Linked DNA regions of Danio rerio. The protein of the gene in region 2 purifies or fractionates together with the protein of the main gene of each other region. This does not show direct contact. Links are inferred from orthologs where the notes say so. Each region holds a gene or a part of one and is shown on either strand. Other genes may lie near its edges. The genes, in order: tgfbr2b and smurf2.

What was found.
Region 1: the proteins of smurf2 (region 2) and tgfbr2b purify together in Homo sapiens (affinity purification with western blotting; 3 studies listed by BioGRID). This does not show direct contact. The link is inferred for Danio rerio from reciprocal best matches to the Homo sapiens genes SMURF2 and TGFBR2.

Annotation. Positions count from the first base shown.
Region 1 is NC_133191.1:43,914,820-43,918,613, reverse strand, and holds the end of tgfbr2b (TGF-beta receptor type-2), read left to right. Parts: intron 1-2,310; coding exon 2,311-2,499; 3' UTR 2,500-3,164; downstream 3,165-3,794. UniProt on the Homo sapiens protein: Transmembrane serine/threonine kinase forming with the TGF-beta type I serine/threonine kinase receptor, TGFBR1, the non-promiscuous receptor for the TGF-beta cytokines TGFB1, TGFB2 and TGFB3.
Region 2 is NC_133178.1:24,026,467-24,030,299, forward strand, and holds part of smurf2 (E3 ubiquitin-protein ligase SMURF2), read right to left. Parts: intron 3,570-3,833; coding exon 3,368-3,569; intron 2,240-3,367; coding exon 2,164-2,239; intron 476-2,163; coding exon 376-475; 3' UTR 1-375. UniProt on the Homo sapiens protein: E3 ubiquitin-protein ligase which accepts ubiquitin from an E2 ubiquitin-conjugating enzyme in the form of a thioester and then directly transfers the ubiquitin to targeted substrates.

The DNA.
Region 1 (3,794 bases), on a different chromosome or scaffold from region 2:
TTTCTACATATAGTCCATTTGAAGTACAATTCACTAAAATGTACGTATGTGCATGACATGATGATATACTGACTAAATTTAAATCATACTTTTTAAAACAAAACTGCCAACTGCATCCAAAATTGTACATAATGCATTTGTTTTAAGCTGTTTTAATTTATAAGTATAAAAGGCATGTTCTGTGTAGTACACGTAAATGTGTGTAGTGTGTACAACGTCCACCATATTTTCACTGATGCTGTCAGTTCATCACTTCCCTGCGACTTCAGTCCTGTCTTTAGGCCTTGTGGGATAGCAAAGTGTCCATCAGATGCTAAAAGTAGCAAATCTAATTGGCCGCTGACTGTATTATAAATACTATGAATATATTAACAACATCATATATAATTTTTGTTGACCTAGAGTTTCTGTCATTTTTCTAGTCCAAACATCTAAAAATGCTTAAATCAATAGGCAGTTTCTGGTCAAAGAAAATATAGTTTTTAGAAATTATAAGTTAAAATTAAGTGATTTTGCCTCAAAACAAGGAAAATAATCTGCCAGTGGGTTAAGAAAAATAATCATATCTCAATTTTTTATTAAACAAGAATATTTTATTTGCATTATTTTGCTTGTTTTAAAGAAAAGCACAATTTTGACTTATTATTTCTGAAAACAAAACATTGTAATAGAGACTATATTTGGACCACAAACAAGACAAAATCAAAGACAAAAAGTTAGAAAAACATGGAAGTGGGCATACTGTATACAGTTGAATTCAAAATAAATCACCCTCCTGTGAATTTTTCTTTCTTCTTAAAATATTTTCCAAATCCTTTTTAACAGAGCAAGGAATTTTTCACATCATTTCCGATATTTTTTTTCTGTAGAAAGTCTGATGCTGTTTTCACACCAGTTGCGGCATGTGCGAATAAGTTGCGATATTGGCTGGTAAATAGACATATGAACATTTTGAGTTTACTTGCTTTATTCGCGGGTCAAATTTGCTTCATTTGCGTGTCAAATTCACTTCACAATAGATGCAATTTGCGTCATGGACAGGACTTCTGTGTGCCTGGTGACTCTAGACTCTTGCTAAATGGCTAACATGAATTTTGAGAAATAAGCTGTGTTTTTGATCTTTAGGAAGGCTGAAAAAATTATTTGAGAGTCCACTAGACACTTTCAGAGGTGCACTCTTCAGAAACTATACCTGGATGATGGAGGCTTTCAGCTGTGTCTTTGACTGAGCCCAGCCCAGTTTAATGAACTGTTGTTTGGTGTCTGCAAAAGGATTTCCCCTCGGGACACCAACAACAGGCACTACGTCATAGTCACACCAAGTACAAGCTCCTGATTGGTTAACGCAGCAGGAATATCCGCTTAAGTTAAAATTTTCCAACTTAAACAGTTCACAAAATTTGCGCGTTAAGTGTGAAAAACTTTTCATTCGCAACGCTTCATTTGTGCATTAAATACACTTTAGTCCCGCGTAAAACTTGCTTCATTCTCGCGTCAAATTCACTTCATTCACACTTCAAATTTACTTCACAATCGAAGCAGATACGCGTCTTGGGTGGGCCTTGGGTTTCTGCCAGATGACTCTAGCTTCGTTGCTAAGTGGCTAACATGGATGTCATTGAGATAATAACTCCACTAGATACATTCAGAGGTTCACCCAGCTCTGTGAGTTCATAAACTCCTCCTGAAACTATACCTAGATGATGGAGGCTTTCATGGATGATAAAGTGCTTCTGGTTGAGCCGAGCCCAGTTTGATGAGCTATTGTCTGGGGTCAGCTGGAACTACGTCATAATCACACCCCTACAAGAGCAAGCTCCTGATTGGTTAACGCAGCACGAATGACTCGATAAATTCACGCATTTGCACACGGAAATCTATCGAATTGGAAATTTTGAAGCATGTTAAGAGCATCAAATGAGAAAAACGCTCAATTCGCGTCGCTACATTCAAGCGAATCGCATCCACGATGTCTATTCGCGTCTTTGCCTTGACTTATATAAATCACTCGCGTTTGGCGCTTCTTCAGCATCTAGTGTGAATAGAGCATTATTTGTTTTATTTTGGCAAGGATAAAAGCAGTTTTTAATTTTTTATAAACAATTTTCAGGTCAATATTATTAGTCCCCTTAAGCTTTTTTTGTTTGTTTAGATTATCTACAGAACAAACTATTATGTTTAGAAATGTGTTTAAAAAAATCTTCTGTCTGCTAAACAGAAATTGGGTGATTATACGTAAATTATACAGGGGGCTAATAATTCATAAAAAACACAGAAAAAAGTTCCCACGCACTCATGCTTTGTCTCCAGGGAGTGGCAGCAGTTTGTGCAACCATCAATGAATGCTGGGATCACGACCCTGAAGCCCGGCTGACTGCACAGTGTGTGGCTGAACGCTTCAACGAGATGGACGACGACCTGGACAAACTGTCCACCTGCAGCAGCTCTGAGGAAAAGATTCCCGAAGACTGTGCCGTGAGCGTGAGCGACGACAAATGAGAGAAAGATCTCTCTCTGCACAAACTGAATGTTGTACATCCTTCCAGCGAGGCAACGTAGAAGAATACGGCCTTTTCATAAAGCTTTATGTCTCATAACCAAAGATTTCATGCACTTTATCAGATTATTCACAGCTCACACTGAGGAAGGTCACGCTGCGAGAAAGAGGAGCTGGACAGATGCTGGGTTTCTCCTCTGACGGCTGACCGAGAGCCAAAGGTAATCAGGAAAATGTTTCGCCTCAACACTAAAGATTCATAGGAGATTTTAAGACTTCCTACAGATCAGTTCAGGATTTTCTGGATTTATGGAAGAATGTGAGATTTGTTTGTTTGCGTGCATGAATGGTGTGTGTGTTTGTTTTTGCCAAAAAGTGTATTGTGCTTGTTATAGCCAAAGGAAAAATATATTGTAAATACAGCTTGTGACGTAAAAAAAAATCAACCCACACTATTGAGGGGGCCAAAAAAGGGAAGAGTATATATATATATGCTGCACATACCAAAGAAAGGTGTTAAACGAACAGTATTTTGAAGCTCACAATGTGCCTCTTATGTTCACATATCCTGGATATTGAATTGTGCCTCTCTTTTACTACTTTTCATGTAATATATTGTAAATCTATGATGATTAAAAGACATTTATGTACAGGATTGATACTAAAAGTGGGTCATTTTTATTTTGTTGTACATATTATTGTGTATTATTTTACATATTGAATACACTAGTGTTGGATTTAAAGGTTCAAGACACACTGGAGTACTTTTTTGAGATTTTAACAGATCTGTGTGTTGAGCATCACTTAAGCATCAAGCTGTGAGACAGTGCACGGCACTCAGTATTTAACCATTCATGAAGTGTCATATGTGTTTGTTTCCATGATCCACAGGGTTTGCTGTAGGGTTTTCCCCATGATGCTGTGAGGGTTGATACAGCAAAGCTGTTTGTGTGCAGCAAGCAGTTATGTCGGGAGAGCTGTAGGAGAATTAGAGAGTGGCGGACTTTGTCTTATCAGTTGAGTTTGTTACCATTCAGACACATTGCCTATATCTGTGCTGCTGTGTTTGCACATGTTTAAAATCCTCCAGATTACCAACAGGGCAAATAGTTGAAATATATAGGGAAAGAGACCTGCTGCACTGCTATCTACTGTGTCTGCATTCAGACCCGGGGATTCAGGAGGAGAGAAGTCCTTATCATTTATAGTGTTTATATGATTATCTTTATAATGTATAACAAATTGTGGTTATATATTAAATGAAATTACGAATAGCCTATTATAGATGGCACAGCAT
Region 2 (3,833 bases):
GCTAAAGTTCAGCCTCTCCTAAAGTCTAGTCTGTCAAAATGCTACATGAAATACTGTTAATATGTCGTCTTAATGCTAAAAAAAAAATCTAAATATGGACTTAAAAAAACAAAAAACAAAAGGAGGATAAGGAGGTTCCAAAATAGTAAATAAAAGAGTTACTAGCAGCTGAAAAGATAGGTTGTTTTCTTCTCTTCTTTTCAAATAATGCAAAAAGATGGGGATAGCAGCATCAGGCGTCGAGTGCTGCGGTGTAATCCACAGTTCCTCAGCCCGAGCGTCTGAGCTTCCCCGCGAGGCCCACACGCCTGTGGTCTGGATGACCGGTCCATCCCGTCTGGAGAAAGGGTCTTGTGTGAGCGCTGCCGTGGGACATCATTCCACAGCGAAGCCGCATGTCTCTTCGATGGCTGTCAGCAGCTTGTCGTAGAGTTTATCGTAGCTTTCGTATGGAGGAATGTCGATTCGGTTAAAGCTGTTGAACACAAACGAATATGGTTGACTGATGATGTTGGCAAAATGTAATAATATATGCATGTTTTGGTTTTAAAATACAGGTTTTTTAAATATTTACACACTGATAATTGATGAGAAACAATAAAATAGTAAGAGTGTGAAACATCACTCCTGTATAAAATAATTGGTTGTATAGAAAATTCTGATGTATACTATTGCATTTGTATACATTATTTTTTACAATAGTTTTTACCATTATATTCTGTATACGAGGTAAAGGGAAAAATAAATAAACAGGGCTGTTTCTGTTAGGCTTTAAAGAGCACTCACACTAGGCGATTCGAACCATGCTCGGGTGTGTTTCTCAGTTCATTTGACAATTGTGAGTGCTCCGAATCAGGCCCAGGCACAGTTTATTGGCCGGCCCGGTGTGCCAGATCACAGTTTAGCTGGGCTCATACGCAGAACGCTTGTAGTGTGAGTGCAAAGCGTGCCTGAGCCTGAAAACTGAAGACGCAACTTCACTTTCAACTGTATGTTCACATTGAAAGCAGTGAGAGCACCAAAGTTTTCTCTGGCTGACCTAGCGACAAGCTGTCTGCCTTCACAGCTTCGCTTTCGAGAAGTAAAAATTCACTGCATTGATCTTGTATTTAAAGGGGCCGTTTCAGTATGTCAGCAAATCAGTCACATTCCCGCATAAAACATGTTTTCTAGCATAAAAATGTTGCACACTTTTTATGAAACTAATTTAACAATAGAAGATTAAGCTGTTGCATGTGGTGTGGCTTTGCTTCACTTATCCAATATGTGTCCATATGTCTGAAATATTCTGAAGCAGCAATACTAATTTGTATTTTTGCATGAGATTCCCGCTTTTTTAAAGAAAAAAAAATTATACATTAATGCACATCAGTAACTTGCCAGTAACTTTTTTAATGCATGTCCCTGTAAGAAAACATCGTAAAAAATTGAAATCTGGCAAACACAATATTAAAACCCTTGGAAACAACTGTGGTCAAAATCAAAGTTCACAGGACTGTGTTTTCTGGACACCTCTCAAGTAGTGGACTTCAACATTCCGATTGGTTGCCGCTAAACCACATTATAGCTCATTAGCATAAAGTTGACTTGATTTCAACTCTCCTCGACGCTCACACTGGTGAAGACGCGATGCACCTCGCCGCTGGCTTCCATTGAAAATGAATGACTTCCGGCTACATTGATGCTCTCAGTGTGAATACACAGAGACTGCTTTATATGGATTTATTAATAATTCTTACTTTTCAATGAATACAACATGTCATAGGTTATTAAAGACGCAAACCCCTCGCTGCACGTCTGTTAAACTAAACTGCTGCATCATCGATGATGTAAGCGTGATTTAACTCGAAAGGTAATAATGCAGTGTGAGTGCAGGCTGTCAGGGGAGAGGGGAGGGGGACAAGCGCATTTTGGCATGGTTCAAGGCAACTGTGCCTTGTGTGAATATGCCCTTAATTGCTGCTTTCTTGATTAAGTATTCAATAAATTGGTTCCATGTGACTGAGTGTACACTTTAAAAATGGTTTAACCCACATTATGGTAAAGCTTCATTGTTAGCATCATTACTCCAGTCTTCAGTGTCACACGGTTCTTAAAAAAAATCATTCTTCTATGTTTATTTGATGTTCAAGAAAGATTTAATTGTGTAAACCTCATGCTTACCAAGTGTGTGCTTTGGGTAGGTTGTTGGTGCTGGCATCGATCTGGTGAATAGTGAAGAGACGTGGACCAGCGGCACCTGCAGACAGACATGTAAGATTTCAGTTTTAAGAGATCAATAGTACCTTGTGCTTTAACCCGAACCAACGTTTTTTTACTCTTGTCAGAGGGTTCAACCTCTGACAATGTGCTACCCATCAGATTTTGCTACTAGTGTAAATTACAAGCTGAATTAGTGTGATATGAAAGAGGTAATATCGCCGTAACCTACTTATCCCAAAGTCCTACCTCAGAACCATTCAAATACAGTGTTGGTAACATAGTCTGATGGGTGGGATGTAATGTCAGGACACCTGCTAAATAAATTTGTTATTTTAGGTGTATATGGATAAGTAAATATTTTGTTGATCATGATGAAATGTATTTTGTTCGAAGAATTGTTTTAAATGTATGATTTTATGTTCGAAATAAATAAATCAAATAAAACATACATGTTTACACAGAATCTCAAAATAAATAGCAGTTTAATAATTTAAATTGTTGATAATTCTTATATTCTCTTCAACATTACAGTAATAAGCAAGTATTTAGGCTACATAATTTATTAAGATTATGCTTTATAACTTCATTTATTTCAAGACATCAGCAAAGCATTATTGAAAAAAAAATTATAGTCCTTTTGTAGTCCTTAATATACCAAAAACTGTTCAGTGTTTGGCGCCCATTGATCATTTTTTCCCATAATTAATAGCAAGAACAAACATAGAAGTCTTGTCTGATTGGCAAGCAGCACCTTATTAAGTTTAAAAGAATTTAAAACGCCAAATGGGACAATTTATACCCCATTTCGAAAGTAAAACACTCTAATAGGTAGTGTAATCTACACAAGTGCAGTGTGTGGGTGAGAGGGGGGCAGTGTTTTGATATGATCCGGTTATGTTGTGGTTCTATGACTGCTGGTGTTGGTTACTGTATTGTTTAAAATATATATAACAGTTTAAGTAACAAGGTAAAATTCGATTTAAATAAATATCTGGCAACACTGAAACTGTTACTTCAAAATCGAGATATGTACTGAAGCATCAGTGTTGTGTGCCGTTTCATTCCTAATACTGCTTTTTGTGTTGGTTTATGTATTCATTGAATGTGGCTATACAGGTGTGAATTTCCGGATGCTAATTAAGAAATTTGTGACATCATCGGGTACCTTGCAGGGCTTTGAATCCTTGCAGCGGAACTCTGGAGGATCCGGTGACAAACTGCAGCAGTCGAGCTCTCCTCTCTTCGTCATACGACTCCACAGCCCTCCAGAACCACTTCACAATGTTACTGTCAGGGGTGCAGTGCTTCAGACGGGTGTTTGACTTCCAGTCGTTGATGTCGATCTTTCCCAATCCACACACGATGAGCTGAAAACCAGAGAAACATAATTTGCTCTGAAAGTGCTTACCAGCCATGTTTTCACTGTTAGGACTAAAGCGAGTGTGCGCCATGGCCAGTCACATTTATAGTCATTTCCAGGGTTTAATTGGGCCATGTTGAGGCGTTTTTTTTTTTTGCCCATCAAAAACCTCAGCCGAAAGTTTTGAGGAGAGTCATGAACACAAGTTGTCAGTGCTGCTCATTTCTCATGTTTTCATATCAGTCTACCCAGCTAACAATGAATTTAAATG